Linked DNA regions of Diceros bicornis minor. The main gene of each other region encodes a partner of the protein of the gene in region 2 in a complex. Links are inferred from orthologs where the notes say so. Each region holds a gene or a part of one and is shown on either strand. Other genes may lie near its edges.

Evidence for each region.
Region 1: the proteins of RBBP4 (region 2) and PHF6 are in contact, whole or in part, in a crystal structure (PDB 4R7A), measured with the Homo sapiens proteins. The link is inferred for Diceros bicornis minor from reciprocal best matches to the Homo sapiens genes RBBP4 and PHF6. Residues at the interface, in NP_005601.1 of Homo sapiens: Ala39, Leu40, Glu41, Trp42, Pro43, Leu45, His71, Thr72, Ser73, Glu75, Glu126, Asn128, Arg129, Pro145, Glu179, Tyr181, Glu231, Asn277, Phe321, Lys376, Glu395, Asn397; in NP_001015877.1 of Homo sapiens: Arg163, Lys164, Gly165, Pro167, Arg168, Lys169, Thr170.

What each region holds. Positions count from the first base shown.
Region 1 is NC_080781.1:122,304,340-122,314,823, reverse strand, and holds the start of PHF6 (PHD finger protein 6), read right to left. Parts: upstream 5,478-10,484; 5' UTR 5,330-5,477; intron 1,397-5,329; 5' UTR 1,351-1,396; coding exon 1,213-1,350; intron 989-1,212; coding exon 887-988; intron 1-886.
Region 2 is NC_080752.1:47,308,910-47,319,469, reverse strand, and holds the start of RBBP4 (histone-binding protein RBBP4), read right to left. Parts: upstream 5,306-10,560; 5' UTR 5,215-5,305; coding exon 5,199-5,214; intron 4,617-5,198; coding exon 4,469-4,616; intron 567-4,468; coding exon 421-566; intron 1-420. Other genes in the region: ZBTB8OS (protein archease), read left to right, coding at 5,979-6,111. UniProt on the Homo sapiens protein: Core histone-binding subunit that may target chromatin assembly factors, chromatin remodeling factors and histone deacetylases to their histone substrates in a manner that is regulated by nucleosomal DNA.

The DNA.
Region 1 (10,484 bases), on a different chromosome or scaffold from region 2:
TACTTTTCAAAATAGATTACTCCTAATCATCAAAATGATAGCCTTTTCTTCCCACCAGATCCTTTGTGAAATATGAGGTTATTCAGTGCCTAAGAACACAGATACACGTTCTGCCAAACCCATCTTTAAAATAATGAAACACTTGATAGTGAAGCTACTGAAGATACATTTACAGATGTAATTTCAATAAAGAGCTCAAAGGAGAAATAGAATAACCAAATGAAAAGACATTGTTTCAATGTAAACCAAATGTATCATAAATACCAATTGAGATGACACTACTTTTCTAATAGAGCAATATAGTATCTTGCCAATCTGGTTACTGGTAGTGAAGACAATACAGGAAGATTACTCTAGGATAGCTACAGGAAAACTATAAAATTCACCAAAAGTTATCCAAAGTCATAAATGCTGTGTCATATAGCTGAACCACTGTAAAATACTTTGTTCAGCAAGTGCTAACATTTTCCTATAGAAAGGACACTGTCATCTTCATTTGTAATGACCACAATTACTTTATGATGGAAGATGAAAACATATTAGAATTTAATTTTGAAAATATACTTGAATGAAGACTTGAACACACGATACATTCAAATTAAGCAAATTGCTTGTTTTCTAAGTCAACACAGCCTCCAAAAAGATTTTAATTCTTTTTGAAAAGAAAAATATTTGAGTAATATAAATATTGATTCACTCCTTTTTTCTTGAGTGGTAAATAAGTTAAACCCAGCCTTGGAATTTGCGGGTTCATGAAAAAAAAAAAAAAAGACTGCAATTTAAAATTATACTCAGCTAATAATGCAATACACTCTAAAATAAGCAATTTCCTCCTTAATGAGCTTAAAATAAGTTTTATTCTCAAGAGGCAGAAATACCAACTTACCAGCTTCGTGCCTCTTTTAATTTCCTTTTGGACATCTTCAATAGAAAATCCACCAAGACTTTCGTTATCAGAGTGTGATGATACCAAAGCAGATGAAAAGAGCTATAAATTACATTTAAAAAAAATTAAGGTTCATATATAAAGAAATTACAGTGAAACAATGAGTAAGATGTTAAATCTAAAGGAAATTTTCTAGTAAAAATGGCATAGCATTAGTGAGAAACCATTTCTTAAAAATTTAACTGAGTTGTTTTTTCCTATTCAGGAATATTCATTGTTAAGAGTCTCACGGTTTCAGGTCTCTTGGCCGCTGCCCATTTACTTACCATGCACTTATGGTGTGCTGCCACCTTCTGGTTCTCAGATATTAGCAACTGTCCACATTCCTTGTCTCTATTTGACTTACAAAAGCCACATTTGCGCTGTCTTGTAGGCCCCTTTTTCTGTTCAACTGAGCTTGACATGATTTTTAAATTGCCTTTAGAATGCCACTTTAAGCCTCAAGAAATGCTACAGAGAATAAGAAGGGCAACAAAATGGTTAATTTTGTTTTAAAACCAGTTTACACATAGTCATGTAAGTTAATATTTGACCTAAGTTTTAATATATGCATTTTAAAATGGCTATTTAGTATAGACAAATTAATATTTAAACCTAAGATGCCTCCAAAATAGAAAAATATGTATGTATGCATAAAGATAAGTTAATGAAGTAATGGGAAAAAATCAAACTGCTCCCAAATTAGGGGATACATAAAATAATTAGAACTATTTCTGCGTAGATAAATAAAAAATGTACAATGTATGATATTAAAACAATCATCTGCTGACATAATTAATGAAAAATATTTTTCACATATAGCTAAGTGCCCCTTCAAGGAGACAAAGAATTATATACCTAAGAGCAGAGCAAAAACTACTAAGGGAACTACACAATATCCAGAGTGAACAAAATTCTATAATTGCATAATTCCTCAAAGTTCACATATTAATTAACTAACAAAAGAGAAATGAATTTACTTAACCATGACTTTGGAACACTTATTTTTAAAACTCGAATTATTCTCAAGTTAAAAAAAAAATCACGTATAAGTCTTTAATAAATTAATTTTTGCTATTGTATTCCTTTTTCATGTAAAGACAAAAATAAGCTTATAACAGTCTATTCAAAAGCATCGACTTTAGGAATCAATTATTTATAAAAACAACTATATTATCTGACTGCGATTTCCTCCGAGAATCAGTTTATCAAACTAAAGTTACAAATTAAGAGTAGTGTTCTAAATGCAGTCACTTTCATACTTAAATTAGTAATATTGTATAAAGGAAGGAAAATTTCTCTGAATGAGCCTTAAATTTAGTCAAATTATAATTATAGGTGGTATAGTCAAACAAAAAAAGGGAAGAAAAGCTCTAACATGGAAGGTTTCAGATTTAGATCATCATTCTCAACATGGATTCTTCAGAAGAATCTAAAAAAATATAAAATTTGATTTGTGTAGTTTTCCCAAATCAACAGTACTATGCAGTTCAGGACCCAGGTTGCCACAACACGCATTACAATCAATAAAATCTCAAATTTTTGTCTTAAAATTTACTAAATTCCTTCCATGTTTCCATATATTTGAACATTTTCATAATACTATGTTGAAAATATGGACTCACTAACGCTACATTGTAGCTTTCTGAGTAGCACTTGTTCACCAACAAGAACAGTAGCAGCTGGATGCCAGCAAGGTGGTAGCTGTAAACCATTCAGCGCTTTATAATATAAAAATGTAGATAATTAAAATTTAACATGAAGTCACAAAGAAACAGGTCTTCTCATCAACTGATATCTCAGTTTTTCTTTTTAACGAAACTTCAAAGGCCCTGACAGTCTCTGCGTTCATGGGTTTAACAAACTTAACGCTGTCTACAATTTTAAATACCTCAGTTTTCCAAATGGCATTGGAGACTTTACAACAGTACTGTATTCATAGCACCGGCTATAAACCGTGAAACTGATTGAAAACAGGCAGCAAATACTTTTAGGATTAAAGAAAAAAAAAGACATAACAGAGAAACAAAAGAAACAAAAGGGGAAGTGTGTTGTGTTTGCATTTGCTCAGGCAAATATGTGTTCAGTTGCTTTATCAAGAATATAGCTGCCAAAATCTTTAGAATTAACTATGCAAAACACCAAAATTCATAAATAGCACCAAAATTTGCTATTTGAGTTCTAAATTAGCCTTCTTTACTACCATGCAATGAATAGTAAGCACTCTGAAACCACTGTAATGTATCCAGCATCTTTCTGGGACATCCTTGGCCAGCTGAAAGGATGGCACATTATGAATCTAACCTATACAGACATCTTTAATAGTGTAATATCTCTACAATCCTAGACGGGCTATAAAACCGGCTTAAGATAAAGAAAATTGCTACAGTAGAAAATCATTTTTTATTCTTGAAATTAATTCTGAAAATGGTACCCCCAAAATTCTATCCATATTGAATTCTGCCTCTTTTCAATTTATAAACAGGTAAATTTCTCATCCTAATTTTGAGAACCTGCTTTTCTGAGTATCAACGACCCCAAAATCTAAAAGAGAAAAAAGGTACAGTTTATTTTGCACTCAAAAAATATTCTAGTGTTCTTTCTTTCTGTAATTAGTTTAAATATAATTTGTAAAGTGAACAGAAACACAAAAAAGTGCACCAAACGAATTAAAAACTTTCCTCAATGTGTAATGACTAAATGGATTTTTCCACTAAAATTCAAATAATGCATCTGTGCATATCTTGCTAATTTTTTTACAGCCTCCTTGTAAAACATGAAGTGGAGAACATCATGGAAACAATGACTCCTAGCAAAAATGTCTTTATCATAAAAATACAGATTTTTATCTAATGCTGTCACATTTGTGGTCTCTCGTTAAGGAGAATAAGGGCATTCCAAGGACCAATATTAAGGGGTTCATAATGATTCAATATGGCATTTTAATTTCAGTCTAAAAGGTTTTTCAGGGCATGCAGAGATCAAAGTTTGATGCTTTCACCCAACAATAAAACCTTTTCCTTAAAAGAAACACAACATTACGGATAATGTTATAAAGCAGAAATAAAGAGGCAAAGATAGCGTGAAAAACATAATTTAAATGTCTGAAAAAATACAAAAGCTCGGTTAGGCTGAAGCGATCAACACGTTTCTGATTTTCCAAGATGCTGTGAAGCACCAAGGTAGAAATAACCTGAAACATCAAGGAGAGCATTCAAGAACACACTCGAGAGCTCATTCAATGCCTGGTATCTGAAACACCATTTTTCACAGGAAAACAAAACAAAACAAAACAAAAACTGCAGTTCCGGAAGATCAAACAGTTCCACACGCAAGCAAGTTGAAATATACAGATCAAAATTTATAAACGTGATCCCCAAACAAGCAGTATTTCTGTCAGGAAAGTTACAGTGGAGAGAAATAAACGAATAAGAGATGAACCGGAAGGGCACCTGAATTTGGTTGCACGATAATATTACATGCTTCGCACTGCTTTTTGCGGTTATTCAAAAGGAAACTGAAGGAATTTTCCAGTTGTTTCAAAAACCCAAGGGTAGAGAAAGAATTTGAACTGTATGAATAAGACCTGATATTACGTAGTAAGCCGATGAAAAGAAAAGGCTTTTCAAAAATAAAGGATTTTTCAAGTTCCACGCAGAATATCGAAACGAACAAATTTCAAAAGAATGTCGTGCTGTTCGTCCATATAATAAAGGATGGTACACATAACGTACCAGATCCTCTCCGTTATTTATTCCTCAAAACACACTAGACTCCAAGATCTCCCTCTAATCAAGCGCTAAACTCGCAAAACTATCTTCTCTAAAACACTTTAGCAGGTTCCTTTCGATCGTAAAGTCAGGGTCCCCTAATTGTCCTTTTCCAATGCTCCCGAATCCAGGAAAACATCATCCTACCACTTTCTTTAACCCTCCCCCAGGAGTTCGCCCTCTAATAGTCTTCGTTTCATATCTCAGTTTCACCCCTCATTCCCCCCACCCCGGAGTTTTTCCTCATTCCGTAAGGCTAACCCTCTTGCCATCCTAACAATTCTTCCTCTTACTTTTCCCAAACTGGGAGTCTCCCTCCTTCCCAAATATGTCCTAAGCAATGGCAAAGACTAAAAATCCCCAGGATTTTTTCCTCCCTAAATGTTGCGCCCCCTCCCCCGAAGTCTAGGCTTAAGCCTAACCTCTCCTTTAGCTCCTCCAAAGCACTTTTCTCAGCAGCCTCTTTGCCAAGCGCCTTCAATGAGCGGTGCTTCTGGGGTCTCTGACAATAAAGCGAGACCACCAAGAGTCCCCCTTAACAACGGGCAGGGGCGGCGGCCTGGCCACCGCCATCCTCCTTGTCTTCTCCCGCCGGGCAGAGAATGGGGGGCCCCAGTGTACTGTGGGGACTCACCGGCGGGGCCCAGAGGCGAACGGCAAGGGAGAAGCGCCAATGAGGGGAAAGAGAAAGAAGTCGGTCTCGGTTCTCCGGCAGCGCCTGGGAGCGGGGCTCTGTCGCCGGAGGTTGTTTCCTTTCATTCGAGGAGAGACGGGCTCGCCGAGCGCCCTTACGTCGCCCCCCTCGCACGCAACGACTCACACGGCGTTAATACGTCCCGAGCGCGCCGCGAGCCCTGATTGGCTGTAGGGAAGGGGCAACTGACGCCGCAGAGCAACGGCGCATGTGCAGAGGCCGCCCCCAGTACGGATCCGGGAGGTAGGCCCCGCCTCCTGCTCGCGCGCGTACCTTCTATTCTCCGGTCCGCCGCTCAGCCAAGTGTTTGGGGGCAGGATCCGAGGAGATAGAGAAAGAGATTCAAAGATATCGCTGTGGGTTGGGCGGAGAAGGGGCAGGGTTGGAACTAGAAACCGTTGGACAGGGGCCCTGGGGAACCAGTTTTCAACAGTGATTCAAACGGGTAGGCCTTATCCCTTGCACTTGTTCACCGAGGCCTTTGCACATCCATTATTTCATTGTACTCTCGTGGCATCCCTTTGAGGTCCTCCGTTCTCTCATTTTACTGCCAGGAAAGACTGAGCTCGTAGTAGAGTCACTCTGCCTGGATTTCAGTCCTTGGGCGAATCGTTCTAATCTCTGCACCTTAAATTTTTTGTATCTTTAAAATGGGGATAAAAATAGTATCTCACGGGTTTATTGTGAGGAAGAAATGAGATGATGCAAGTAAAGCATGTATTAGCGTCCCTGGCATATAACAGGCCCTCTATAAATGCTGAGATTATCATAATCAGAAAAGATAAGTGATTTTCTTTATAACTCACAGAGGTAAATCAGACACCGAAACGGGCGCTTTCCTCTTTGATGTATGGAGCCAGACTGCTTGGGTTTGAATCCCAGCTCCCCCACTTCTAGCTCTATGACCTTGAGCACGTCGCATTACCTCTCTGTCCCTCAATTTCAGCACATCCAAAATGGAGATCACAATGCTATCAATCTCATAGAGTTAAGAGAAATGAGTTAATATATCTAAATCACATAGACTAATGCTTGGGCACATAGTGTGCCCCATGTAAGGGTCAGATGTTGTTATTTTTCTACTGGGCTCACAGACTGCAAGCCAATGGTTTTAAAAAAAAAAAAAGCCCTAACAAACTAATGAAAATTTAAAGATGTCCTTAAAGTAGCTACTTTTCCTGTAAAGGGGGTGGGGGGGATTTCCATTGTTTTGATCCAATGCTGTTTCTATGCCGTTTCATCTTTCTTTTTATTTTTCCCTGCTATGTCAACCTTAAATTGTCATCCTCAGGAAGACAGTGACCATGTCGATGTAACATTGTATCCCATACAAACAGGTACCTAATAAGCGTGGACAAAGCAGTCGTTTAGCTCCACGGGACCCTTAGCCCTTTCACGCAGGCCCTGTACCACGAAAGGGAGTAGCTGGAGATTTACATAAGAAGATCCAGAATGTGTATTCCAAACATTTACAGTGTATTTGAAAACAGGTCCCCCAGCCTCAATTTCCACCAGCTTTACACACTTACTGATGTCAGGATGAGACCAATGATTGTGTGTGACACGAGTGACAAAATGGAGTGCCTGTGCAGTATGCCATCTCTTTAGATGTCCCCCCAAATCCCCACATTTTGCTATCTTTTTTTTATTCTCTCCTCCATGCATTCATTTCAACAAAATTGGATTCAATAAACATCTGTGAAAGTACTAAGTTCCAAACACGAGAGAGACATAGATCAACTCAATCCCTGACCTTGAGCTCATGGTCTGAAAAGGGAAACAGACAAGCAAACAAATACAGTATGATAAATGCTATATTAGAGGTGTGTGCCTGAGACAGACAGCCTCTGCCTATTATCTACAAAGCAGTATGCTCAGGTACAACACAACAGTGAATAAGACACAGCCTTTGCCCTCAACTATTTAAAGTCTAGCAAGGAAAAGACAAATAGCTATGATAGGAGATGGACTGTGGTGAGTGTCGTAAAAAGTGGAAAGGAAGTGCAAGGAGAGTTCAGGAGAGGAAGAGGTCCGTGACTCCAGTTAGTTTCAGGCCCCAGGTCTGGCAGCCAGTTCCAATTAGCATAACTGATAGATGCAGCCAGTTATTTCAAGGGCTACAGAAAGCAGTCAGATTGTGATAACATGCTCTTAACCATGCTTGAGGATATAGCCTAGGATTTCTTAATCTCTTATTGATTCACCAGTACACTCCCACCAGTACTATTCCAGTCTGTTTCTTCAGGCTCTAGATCCCGCTTTTTGTACCTCACTCTCAGCAAAGGCCTTAACTTCTTGACTTATTTAGAGTAGGGCCACATGAGCTAAGCTACTTTATCTTGTACACCCATCCTCTCTTGCTTCCTTCAAGACTCAGAGAAAGAATGGTCCTTCCTGCTTTTTAAAGCTAAAGCTGTGGTTTTAATCACATCTCTTCTGTGCTCTGGAGGAACTGATTCCCTGCTTATTCCCTGTTCCAGCAGCATCGACTGCCCTGCTCTCATTTGCCTTCAGACACATAGGATTCCTCTATCTTCACTGCCAGACTGTGCTCTTTGCCTCCAATTGCTCTCCAATCACTCATTCAGCAGGCAATTGCAGATATTTTCTGTATGCCAGGTATTATGCCAGACCCTGGTGATTTGAAAAGGAACAAGACACAGTTCCTGCCTTCAAGGAATTCTCAGTCTAATGAGGAAGAAAAACAGGTATGTCTAAGGAGGAAGAAAAACAGAATTTCAGTACAATAGGTGAAATGCTATACCAGAATTACATACCACAAAGATGGACTCTGTCCAGAGGAGCAGGAATACATCCCTATGGAGGAAATGTTTTGAGTTCAGTCTTGAAGAACAGGTCCAGGACCAGAAAAATCTGGATTCCATCTTCATGACTTTTCTCCATCTTCATTCTTGACCTCTCTGTTACATTTGGCGCTCTTGGCCATTTACTTGTTCTTAATTTTCACCTTCCTTGGCTCATAACAAGGCCTCTGACTCTGGCTCGCTGGCTGCTATTGCAGTCTCTTTTGTAGGTTTCCTTTCTTCTCGCTTTATAATGCAGTCTTTTCCCTAGACAGGGTCTTAGACCCTCTGCTGGTCTGTTGTTACTCCAGCCCAGCAGTTCTTAAACTTTGGAAGGGAGAATTACCTGGGGAGCTTGTTAAAAATGCAGATATTTTGGCACCACGCGCTGGGGATTCTGAAGGTCTGGGTCCAGGAATCTGCCTTCTTAAACTGCCCAGATACTCTGATGCAGTTGGGTTGAGGAACACACATTAAGAAACCGTCCCTTCTTGTTTGTAGAATTGATACAGTCTCTCTACTTTCACTACTCTGTAAACAACTGCTTAGCAACTGCATCTGCTCTACTTAGATCAGCCCTGTCCTTGAGCTCAAATTGCTAAGTCCAATACAAGCAAATTCATCCTCTCCAGCAATTAAAAAGTAATTCCTTTTCCCGTCATCAGTGTCTCCGTGTAAGATAGTGCTGGCATTTCTGCTTCTGCCTAAACCAAAGACTAAATTCACCTACATGCCTATGACCCCCCTTCTGGCTATAATCCACACCAGTGGATCATTCATTCATTCATTCATCAAGTACATATTGATCACCTACTAGGTGTTAGATAAAAACGGACATGGTCCATTTTGGTAGAGCGGCAGAGACAGAGCTTAATCAAGTAATCACATAAGCAAATGGAAAATTACAGCCACGATCAGTGCAAAAAAAAAGTAAATGTCACTTATATGGAACTGAAGACTATTTGCATTTTGTATATTGGATACTTTTTATATTTCTTATTCTTTATTTTTAAAGTGGGTAGATTAAGCATTTAAAATGTTTCTGTGAAAAAAATAAAATGCTATTTATTTGTACAACACACTGCATAAGTGTCAGGAGACATGGGTTTGAATCACTGACCTGCCACTAACTAGCAGAGTGACCTTGGGCTATTCATTTGACTTCTCTGAGCCTTAGTTTACACATCAGTCAAATGAGATTAATATTACTTGCAAAGTTGTTATGGGGCCCAAGGACAGATAATGATGTATGTGAATGTTCTTGCGCCAACAAATACGAAGGACAGTTATTTTTTTTTATGTATCCTTTAACTGCCATATCATCTGATTGATCCCCCTGCTAATGTTGGCTCTCAGTGTTTGTCGCCTATGCTCTTCTACTTAGTTTTTGTTGTTGTTGTTTGTTTTTTAACTTAGTGTATCAGTGAGGTTTTATAGCATTCTTAACTCTGTCCAGCCATGGAGCTACTCAGGTACGTAAACGAGGTGCTGGGAGCCTTGGTGGACTATGTTGTTGATGTCTCTCCCTTTTAGCAATTTGAAGCTTGGTATGGTACAGAAACTGCCCAGGAAACTAGCAACTGTGCAGGGGGAAATTTTTAGAGATACATGGACATCTCTAAAACATTGTTGAATGTTGAATAAACACAGAAGCTGAACTTAATATAACATATTGATGGCAATATTGGAGAAGTAATTAAACTTTATAATGCTGATGCTTGCAAAATAATGAGTTAACCGACTTCGGACAATGTACCGGGCACTGTGCTGAGTACTTTATGTGCATTATCTTATTCAATCCTTACAACAGCTCTGAGAGGCAGGGAATATTATTAGTCCCATTTTATAGAGGAAGAGACTGTTGAGCAATTAAGTAACTTGCCCAAGGTCGCACAGCTAGGAAGAGGAAGAACCATGTGTCAATCTACATTTGTTTTGACTTAGCCAAGCTCTTAATCACTGTGCTGCACTGGCTCTTATTTATTTGTTTATGTGTTCATTTTCTGTCTCCATCAGGACAGGGGCTTTGTTTTGTCATGTTCGCTGCTCTACCCCAGCCCATAGAACTCTGTGCCTGGCCTCTAGTAGGCACTCAATAAATATTTAATGAGGAAAGGCCATGGAGAATGGGGAATGGAAAAGAGAGTAGGAAGTGGAGAATGGGGAAGAGAATATAATGAAGAACGAGGAGAAGCAAATTTGGAATGAAACAAAATCATCTCAGGAATTTTTTTTTCCCCCAAAGCCCCAGTAGATAGTTGTATGTCATAGCTGCACATCCTTCTAGCTGC
Region 2 (10,560 bases):
CTATGTATGCTACGTGTATCTGTGCTTTATACATTCAAAGAATAAGACTGTTTTCACACACACACCGCCCCCTCCAAGAACCAATTTTCACCCCCTTAGGGGCAACATCTCCCATGTTGAGAATGCTTGCATGCACAGCAATAATATATGGTGGTTCTTTGCTTCTTTCAATTTTATACATTACCCCACCACCAAATTTAGTAGAGGAAAGTTTATAGAAAAGTACAGAACCCAGTACGTGTTAAGTATGTCTTCTGACACCTAATACCTATACTGCAAACTCGGGCTTTCCAAAGCTTAAAATTTTGTTTCTAACCTGAGAGGCTATTTTATCAAACTATACATCCTTTTTATGATAATTCAAAGGTATGAAAGATATAACCCATACATTATTCCTTCTTTCACCTTTAAGATTCCTACCTCCTTTCTCACTGTCGTAGTGTGAAGCATCAAACTGAGCATCATCGTTAGGGAGCTGCACACTGGCTATCACAAGGTGGTTTTGTTCATCCGACGTGTGTGTCCCCAGGACAAGTCGATGAATGCTGAAATCCTTCCCTTCTGGTCTGTAATAGCGGTATATGGTCACTAGTCAAATTAGTAACACTAAGAAAGACTACAAAGTCTGTGATACACATGTATACAAAAGGCACTATTACAACCAGGTTTTGAGAGAAGCAAGTCATCATGAGCCACATTTTCTACTTTTAATGAATCTTCCACAGAGCAGAGTATAAGGAGGACCACATAGCACTTAATTTTCTAAGTATTTCTTAACTTGGCCAAAAATTTACAATTATTTTAGGGAAAAAGTCTAACGAAATAAAATGTGGATTAACTACTCACTCTTTTACAACGGATTGGAGGGAAAGAAAACAATTGTTGGGTACACAAATACTTGACGTTAATTCATTAGGTTAACTTCATTAAAAGGGAAAGGAAAGGAAGTAACAGTAGGTAAACTAATTGTTCAAGTATTTACTAAGTGCCTAATCAATGGACATATTGCTCCAAACACTATGGAAGAACAAAGAAGATTAAGATGTGATTCCTGTTCTCAGAAAACAAGGGGTTGGGGCAAGCCTGGGGGCGTAGTGGTTAAGTTCGCACACTCTGCTTCGGCAGCCAGGGGTTTGCAGGTTTGGATCCCAGGCCCGGACCTATACAACGCTCATCAAGCCATGCTGTGGCAGCATCCCACATACAAAATAGAGGAAGACTGGCACAGATGTTAAGCTTGGGGCCAATCTTCCTCACCAAAAAACAAACAAACAAACAAACAAAAAACCACAAACAAACCCCGGTCCAGTGGCACAAGCAGTTAAGTGCTTCAGCAGCCCTGGGTTCGCAGGTTTGGATCCTGGGGGCGCACCAAGGCACCGGTTGTCAAGCCATGCTGTGGCAGTGTCCCATACAAAGTAGAGGAAGATGGGCACAGATGTTGGCCCAGGGCCAATCTTCCTCAGCAAAAAAAAAAAGAGGAGGATTGGCCTCGGATGTTAGCTCAGGGCTGATTTTCCTCACCAAAAAAAAAAAAAAAAAAAACAAAAAACACCACAAACCCCCAAATCAGGAGCAATTTGGCAGTCACGTACAAAAACAATTAAAATACAAGTCAATACATAGTATATGAAAAGTACACAAGAATGTAAGAGTTTAGATAAGAAAGATTACTTCTGGAATAAGAAAGTGTTCATGGAAGAGGTGATACCTGAGCAGTTCTCAAAATGAGAGATAAAACCTGGAAGTTTGGGTCAAGCTTTGGAAGACAGTATTCCAAGGAAAGGGATTTGAGCAAAAGGGAAGGTTGACAAAGTGCCAGACACTATGGTAAGCACTTCACATACCTTCTATCATTTAAACACCATAATAACACTATGAAGTATTACTGCAATTTAAAGATGAAAATACTCGAGGTTTAGGAAAATTAAACAACTTGCCTAAGATCACACAACCACTAAGTAACAGAACTAGGACTCAAGTCCAAATCTGACTTTGGATATGGGAAAACACAGTGGGAGAAAAGGCTAGAAAGCAGATTAAAATCAGACTCTAGGGTATTGAATACCAGCGTAAGAAATTCTGGACTCTATGCTGTAGGGGACAAAGGACTATGGAAAATTTCTAAGGGACACAGCACCATTTAAGTTATCTCAGATGGATTAATCTAACAGCGTAAAGCAGAGGTTTTTAAAGTATGGTATCAGGACCAACAGCATCAGCGTCACATCAGAACTTTTGCTAGAAATGCAAATTCCCAGACCCACTGTAGAGACCTACTGAATCAGAAACTCGAGTTGGGCACTTGAGGAACTCAACAATCTGTTTTACAATCTCTCTATCTGATTGTGATGCTACACAAGTAGAATTCATCAGGGCTTATAAATGGACTGTCAAGTGGAGAAAGGGAAAAACCTAGGAAACGTCAAACCAAAGTCAACTATGACAGGGAGAAAGTTGGGGTGGGACCTCCACTGAAAGAACACATGCAGTTTAGAACATGTGTTGGGGAAGCCAATAAGATACTGCAAAGACACCAGTAGGCACCTGAAAATTCAGGAAGAGCCCAGAAGTTGGGTCTAGAGATACTAATAGGAATTCCTTTGCAGAGAGGTAACAGCCATATATATCCTACATAGAAAAAGTAGAGGAAAGAAAAGTGGGCTGTCAACAGAAAATTAGAAATGCTTACGCTCAGGTTAAACAAAGAACCAAAGGAAGTGAGGTAGGGAAAAAGAGAATTATAGAAGTAAAATTGTGTTTTGTTTTTACAAAAGATATGAAAATACACATAAACACACAAAAAACTAAACACCTGGCATTAGGGATACTTGCTTATAAGTAAGTCTCATCTTAAAAAAATTAACATTGTTAGGTGAGTAGAAATACCAAAAAAAGGAAGGAAAAAAGCAAGGTATTTGGACTAATGTCACACATTGCAGAAAGGTTTATTTACCTAGATCAGCTAAAGTAGAAAGCTACTAACACGATAGTGCAGATCCCAGCCTTGGGGAATTGAGTCTAATTCACTGCTTTCCAAACCTAGTTAATCACTACATTATATGGGAAGCTTTTTAAGAACACGGGTTCCAGATTTAGTAGGTATGGGGTGGCCAATATTTGGGATCCACTGGTCCAATATACATAATTTATTACATGATCACAGTAAATCTGGAATCACCATTCAACTACTTCTCATCAAGTACTCTGCCACAGGTTCCTAAATCATTTGAACTATCACTGAACTGACAGAAATGACTCCACTTACCCCAAACTCAAGTAATTCTGATGATCAGTTGAATATGGGAACCGCTGGTCATGATAAAGAAGCTTCCAACCCTAAGTGTCTAGGTATTTATTACAGTTCTGTTTAACACCCTTAGAATAGATTTCCCCATTTTCTTTAATGTCACTGTGAAGGTAACTGCCTCATTCTTCAGTTAACCAATAAAATTTATATCAAATTTCTATTATTTGTTGAGCTGAAGAATAGCCTAATAACCATGTTTTGCAAATATCTTGACATCTGAAGACCTGAGTTTTGAGTGAATTTAGTTATTTAGCACACAATCTAATTTCTAAATGTTATTCTGAAGAGTGAAGCAGTTTCACACTAGAAAATTCATCATTCCAACAGGCACACTGGCTTTGCTAAAACTTTATATTATCTAAATTCACCTTCATCTTTGCATTGTTACTTCCTCCTGGAAGCCCTTCCCGATACCCCAAGTTGAGGTAATTTTTCTTCTCTCTGATCATTTTATCTGTGCCACTCATGATAATTACTGTTACATTTTATACACACACAGTCAAGGCAAGGGCAGGCGTCTTACTTAAATTTATACCCCCTGATATGTGACACCTAGTGGACCCCGAACAAACGCAAACTAAATTAAATAATATTTTACATCTTCTATTAGAAGTAAGCTACCCATGTGTAAGAAATACAAGTGATTATAACTTCTTATCATGTAAACTCCCATACACATAAACCACCCCTCCTTCAGGTGTTAGTTCTAAGCATCTCTCTAAAACTGCTCTTAGCACATATAACTGTAATTATTAGTTTATATCTGCCTTTCCAACTAGACGTGTGCTCCTTGAAGGCAGGACCATGTCTATACTCATCTTTGTATTAACCAGCTAGTACCAATGAGAGAGTCAAGTGTTTTGCTGAAAAAACTGGATTCATCACAATACTTCATGAAAGTTGACATGTTTTAATTACCCGGTCAACTAGCTATAATATGGCTACTCAACTCAGTACCAGAAACAGAAAACATCGACACGTTTTCCCCTTATCAGGTAAGTTACAAAATAACTTTACATTTTGCCTAGAAAAGATGCCACCAATAGGTTTTGATCACGTGCCTTCTACCGGCGACTGGCGAGAAGAAAACAGGGTATATCAACGTGAGAAATCTACACTGAGGACGCAACAAAATAACGTTCAAGGCATTCCTATTACCTGGTTACATCTGGAAGCCACTGTGCAGTCAGGCTGGGCCACTCCAGAGCGTGGGTCATCACCAAATCGTAAAGAAAAGGGGTGTTCTTTTTCCATATTTTGTACTCTTCGTTGATCACACGTTCTTCTACTGCGTCATCAAAGGCTGCTAAAAAGTTAAAAACAAATCAAGTTAGCGAACACAAATGGAAACTCAGTTAACACTTCCAAAGCTACCGGCCCGAGTCCCGATTCTGAAATGGGGGGATGTGTCTAAATCCCCCCGAGGCGGAGGCACCAACACGCCTCCACACCTTCGCGGGCCCGGAACCGCGCTCGGGTCCTCCCGGCCGTACGCTCCGTTAGCCGCTCGGGCGACGGCGCCGGGCCTCGGGAGACCGCTCCCTACGCGCCAATCTGCGGCCCCAGTGAGGAGGCCCGAGCGCCGGCCCCCGGGGGAGGGAGCGCGGCCGGCAGCACCTGGAGAAGCGGGCAGACCGACACAGAGCGCGGGGAGGGAGCAAACCGCCGCCGCGGCCCCCACCGCCAGCTTCACGCCGCTGCGACGGGCCTCCGCTCCCGAGGAGCTGGCGCGCCGTTAGCCCGCCCCGCGGGGCGATTCCTCCTCACGCCTTCGATGGTGGGGACGGCACTCGGCAGAGTCGGGCCTGCCCTCGCTGTTAGGCCGTGTCGAGGCCGCGGCGCAAGCCCGGCATCCCCTGCCCTCCTGGGGCGGCCCCGGCACCCTCACCTTCCTTGTCGGCCATGGCGGACAGGCGAGCCGGGGATCCCGGGGTCGAGCGTTGCCGGAGGGGCGGGGAGGCAGCGGGCGCTCGCTCTGCGCGCGCGGCCTCTATTGTTTCCTGCTGCCCCTGCGTGAGGGCCGACTCGCGCACCTTCGCGCCAACACTGACCAATCGGAGCGCGCCGAACGGCGAGGTGGGCGGGGAAGCCGTGTTCGCAGCCTATCCAGACGCGCGGAGTCGCTTTTCGAGGGGGCCAAGGCGCGCGCTCCGCCCCTGCCCCCACACGGCCCGGAGCCGACTTCTTTCGATCGCGCGCGCGCGCGCGCGCGCGGGGCTGGTGGGAGTGCGCCTGCCTGGGGTCACGTGAGAGTTTTAGTCCGCACTCCCTTGGGGGCAGCCATTTTCTTAAAGGCTGTTAAGCTGAGGACCCTTTCAAAGTACTCAAATAAGAAGTCTAGGGTGCTTTCAGGTCTAGTTATGAACTCGGGGTGAGGCGGCGAGAAAAGGCCTCTATCACTCAAACCTAGGGGTGTCTAATTCAAGTGTCCCCTACTCCTGACTCCTCCAATTTATTGCCTTAGTCCTTAGGAAAAAACTATGGATGAAGCCAGCGCAGAAAATGGGGCCTTGGCCTTTTAAGCATGTGCTCCAGGCGGCGGAGCCTCAGACAGAAGTCTTAGGGTATAAAAGTACGTCCCCGAGAACGGAGTCCTGGTTCTTTAAGGGTCTGTGCCTAGGGGCGGAGTCTAGAGCGGAAGTTGTATGTCAGGGCCGAAGTCCGGCTGATGAAGGGCGGAAGGAGAGTGTCTAATGCTGCAATCATGGCGCAGGAAGGGGAAGATATTAGAGATTACAACTTGACTGAGGAGCAGAAGGCGATCAAGGCTAAGTATCCTCCAGTCAATCGGAAGTACGAGTGTGAGTAGGTGGCTGACTTCTCTCATCCCCTCTCCTTGCCCGGGGCTTCCGGCCTCGCCTTCTACTTTGCCCCAGAAGGTGCTTCAGGCATGGTCCCATTTCGCCCTGTATTGTAGTTTCTTGTGCTTATTTGGGGGATGCTGAAGGAAAAAGCCACCTGGTCTAAGAGTTGGGACACCTTGGCTCCCACGTTTACAGTCTCTTGAACTTTTTCCACATGTGCTTAATCACATGTATCTTGTGAGAGTTTTACTTGTGTCTTAATTCTGAAGATAATCATATTTTCAAGCGTTTGCGGGTTTGTCGCCCCCATGTATCTCCATCAGTGGGATAGTTAAGAGTGTGGCTAGGTTCGAGGACTCGGAGAGCCAAGTAGGGAACTTCTAACATGGCATTTTAACTGGATCGTGTGTTAGTAAAAAAACCCAAACCTGGTTTTGCCATTTATTAGCTTAGTGACTGCAGGCAAATCGCATAACCTCTCTGCATCTTAGTTCCTTTAGCTGAGGAATAAATGAGATAATAAATATGAAAGTATAGTGCAGAATCTAAAGTTCTATGTAAACGTTAAGTTGTCATCCCTAAAGGTGGCTGTGGTTGGGAGAGCACAAATCGAACTCTTATTTCCCCGCTTAAAATATTTCACTAATCTCCCATTATCCTCTGTATGGAGTCCAACTATTTACCATAGCATACTAGGCTCGTACTTGCTGGACCCTGCATATCTCCCTAGCTCATTTTTCTCTCACTTAAAACAATTTTTAAAATTTGTTTTTAATAGGTGGTATATATGATTCAAGATTCAAAAAGTACAACAGGTGTGCAGTGAAAAGTCAGTCTTTCAACTCTGGTCCCCTGCCACCTAGTTTTCCACTCTAGATCAACCATCCTTACCATTTTCTTAAGTGTACATGCAAAGATGTTCTAGCATTTACTTGAATTTGTTTAACCAATTTCCAGTTGATGGACGTTTATGATATTTCTACTCTTTTGCTCTTAGAAACAATGCAGCAATGAATATACTTGTACATCCATTGTTTTGCACAAGTGCAAGTGTATCTGTAGAATAAATTTCCAGAAGTTACATTGCTTTGTCAAGTATATGCATTTTTAACTTCAACAATTATTGCCAATCTCCATTGAGGTTGCTCCAGTTTATACTCAACTAGCATTGTATGAGTTTGCCTTTTTCCTCACAATTTTACCAATTTGCTGTTTTACTATACTTTTTGGTCTTTTCCAATTTAAGTATCTTGTCATACTAATTGCGTTTTTCTTATTATAAATGGGGTTGAACATATTTTAGTATGTTTGGAGTTATTTGTATTTTCCCTTCTGGCATGTGTATATTCATGGTCTTTATTTTCTGTTGGGTTGTTGGTCTTCTTTACTATACAGAAATTTATTTTTATGTAGTGAAATTTATTAACTCTTTTTATGGCTTCTGGGATGTTACACTTAAGAAGGCCTTGCCCACTCTGAGATTGTAAAATAATTCTCCTGTGTTTTCTTTTACTACATTGAAAATAAAAGTTTTATTGAAGTATAATATATTTATAGAAGAGTGCACATATCCTAAGTGAATTTTCACAAACTGAATACACCTGTATAACTAGTAACCAGATCTATAAACAGAATATTACAGCATCCCAGAAGCCCCTCTCATGCTCCTTTCCAATCACCATCACTCTCCCTACTTCTCCCAGTAGCCTAACTTCTTTTTTTTTTTTGGTGAGGAAGAGTGGTCCTGAGCTAACATCTGTGGCAGTCTTCCTCCATTTTGTTTGTGGGTGGCTGCCACAGCATGGCTTGGCAAGTGGTGTAGGTCCACACCCGGGATCCGAATTTGCAAACCCCAGGCTGTCAAAGCGGAGTGCGTGAAACTTAACCACTATGTCACCAGGCTGGCCCTGCATTAGCCTAACTTCTAACATCATAGATTAGCTTTGTCTATTTTTGAACATTTTATTAATGGAGTCATACAGTATGTATGCCTTTTGTGTTTGGCTTTTTTTGCTCATATTTGTGAGAACTATATTTTTCCTGGTAGTTATAGATTATTCTTGCTCCTAGTATTTATGTGTTTTTTTAACATTTAAATCTTGAGTACATCAGGATTAGGGTAAGGTAGAAACTAAGTAGCCAATTTAATTATTTTCCAGATGATTTACCAGATGTTCTAACATCATTTATTCAACAGTCTGTCTTTTCCCTTTGATTGAAATGCAACATCTTTATCATGTATAGAATTCCTCTGCCTATATTTAGGTCTGTAGCTAGACTTACTATTCTATTCTTTTCTTCTCTCTCTCTTCATGTGTCAGTGCCACAGATTTAATTATCGAGGCTTTATTCTATCTTTTAATATCCTGTAGGACAATCTTCTGCTCAGTACTTGCCCCTTTCCTGCCATTTTTGCTTTTTTTTTCCTATATGTAGGTAAAAATCAGCTTGCTCAGATCCGTAAAAATCACTACTGGTATTTTTTTAACTTTTTATTTTATTTTATTATTATTATTTTTTGGGGGGGGGAGGAAGATCGGTCCTGAGCTAACATCTGCCAATCCTCCTGTTTTTGCTGAGGAAGACTGGCCATGGGCTGACATCCATGCCCACCTTCCTCTACTTTATATGGGGCGCCGCCACAGCATGGCTTGCCAAGCGGTGCGTTGGTGCGCGCCCGGGATCCAAACGGGCGAACCCTGGGCTGCTGCAGTGGAGCGCGCACACTTAACCACTTGCGCCACCGAGCCGGCCCCAAACTTTTTATTTTAAAAGTTCCAAATATGTACAAAACTAGGCAGATAGTATGATGACTTCTGTGCGCATATTGCCCAGCTTCATCAATTACCAAATAATGGCTTATCTTTTTTCCTCTCTACCACCATATTCCCCTGTAGGGGAAGAAAAAAAACTTCCTGTACCCTTCTTAGGTTCATTGGCTGAGGCCCTACAAATTAGACTGACAAAAGACAGATTAACTAGAGAATAACAAACAAGTTTATTAACATGGGCAACACACATACACATAGGAGTACTCAGTGATGAGTAACTCAAAGGGATGCTTAGAACTTGAGCTTATATAGCATCTTAACAAACACAGTGATTTTGTAGAGAAGTGACAAGACAAAGGAAAAGCGCTTTGCACTTCTAGGGCAGCAAATTGTGGGAAGGTAAATATGTGGGGAAACTAATGGAATCTAAGGGCTGTTACTAAGTTTATTATATAGATTCCTCTGGTGCTGACTCTGGATGCATAAGGATCTAGACTTTTCTCTGGTGATTAATTTCTGTCCTTGCTGATACAGAGGCAAAGGGGAACACCTTTACAAATTTATGTCCTACTTTTAGGCAAATAGTTCTTTGTATCTGCTTCCCTCACTTGTCTTCAGCTCAAAGTAATCTTTGTGCCAAAGTGGCATATTTTGGGGTGGTATATTCTGCTGCTTTTCACCTCCTTTCCTGTTACTTTAAAGTAAACCACAGACAAAAAATTGCTATTGGTATTTTTCAGTCATGTTAATTATAAACAGGGAGAATTAAAGCTTTGATATTTATATGAGTCTTTTTCTCCAGGAATAACGTATGCTTTTCCATTTTTCATATATTATTTTGTGTAACCCGAGAAGATTATTTCTAGGTATTTCATCTTTTTTGTTTCTGATGTAAATGATCTTCTCTTCCATGATGTTTTCTCTATGGTTATTGATTATATTTGTGAAAGCTGTGGAATTTTATAATTAAGTTTTTACACTGCCTCTATGAATTCTCTTACAGTTAGTATAATTTTCATTTGATCCTCTTGAGCAGTCATCTCCAAGCTTTTTTCATTGCACACTCTGAATTTTTGTATGTTCTACTGTATTAATATATACATTATAAAGGTGTGTTTTCTTTCCTCTGACACCACTTCTGGCACTAAATGTGTGGTTTGTCCACAGCAAGCAATTCTTCAGTTCTCTGACACCAGCTGGGTGTCCAGCAATTCAGTTCTGACACCCAGAGTTAGCACAGACACCACAGGTTAAGGACTCAGTCCCACAAGACTGCTCCTACTTCAGACACCAGCCCCAAATGGAGTACCCAGACTACCCACACATCTGCCTTGCCAACTGCAAATTCTGGTGTTCCCGTGACCCCCCAATGAGGCTCAGGTTCAATAATTTGCTAGAACAACTCACAGAACTCAGATAAACACCTTACTTATGTTTACCAGTTTATTATAAGGGCTACAACTCAGGAACAGCCACATAGAGGAGATGCATAGGGCAAGATACCAGAGGAGGGGCTTGGAGCTTCCATGCCTTCCCTGGGCTTTTCATCCTCCCAGCACCTGATAAGTTCACCAGTCCAGATGTTCTCCGAATCTCTTTGTTGAAGAGTTTTTTTGTTTTTTGTTGTTGTTGTTGATGTCTTAATAGTTTATAACATTGTGAAATTTTGGTTGTA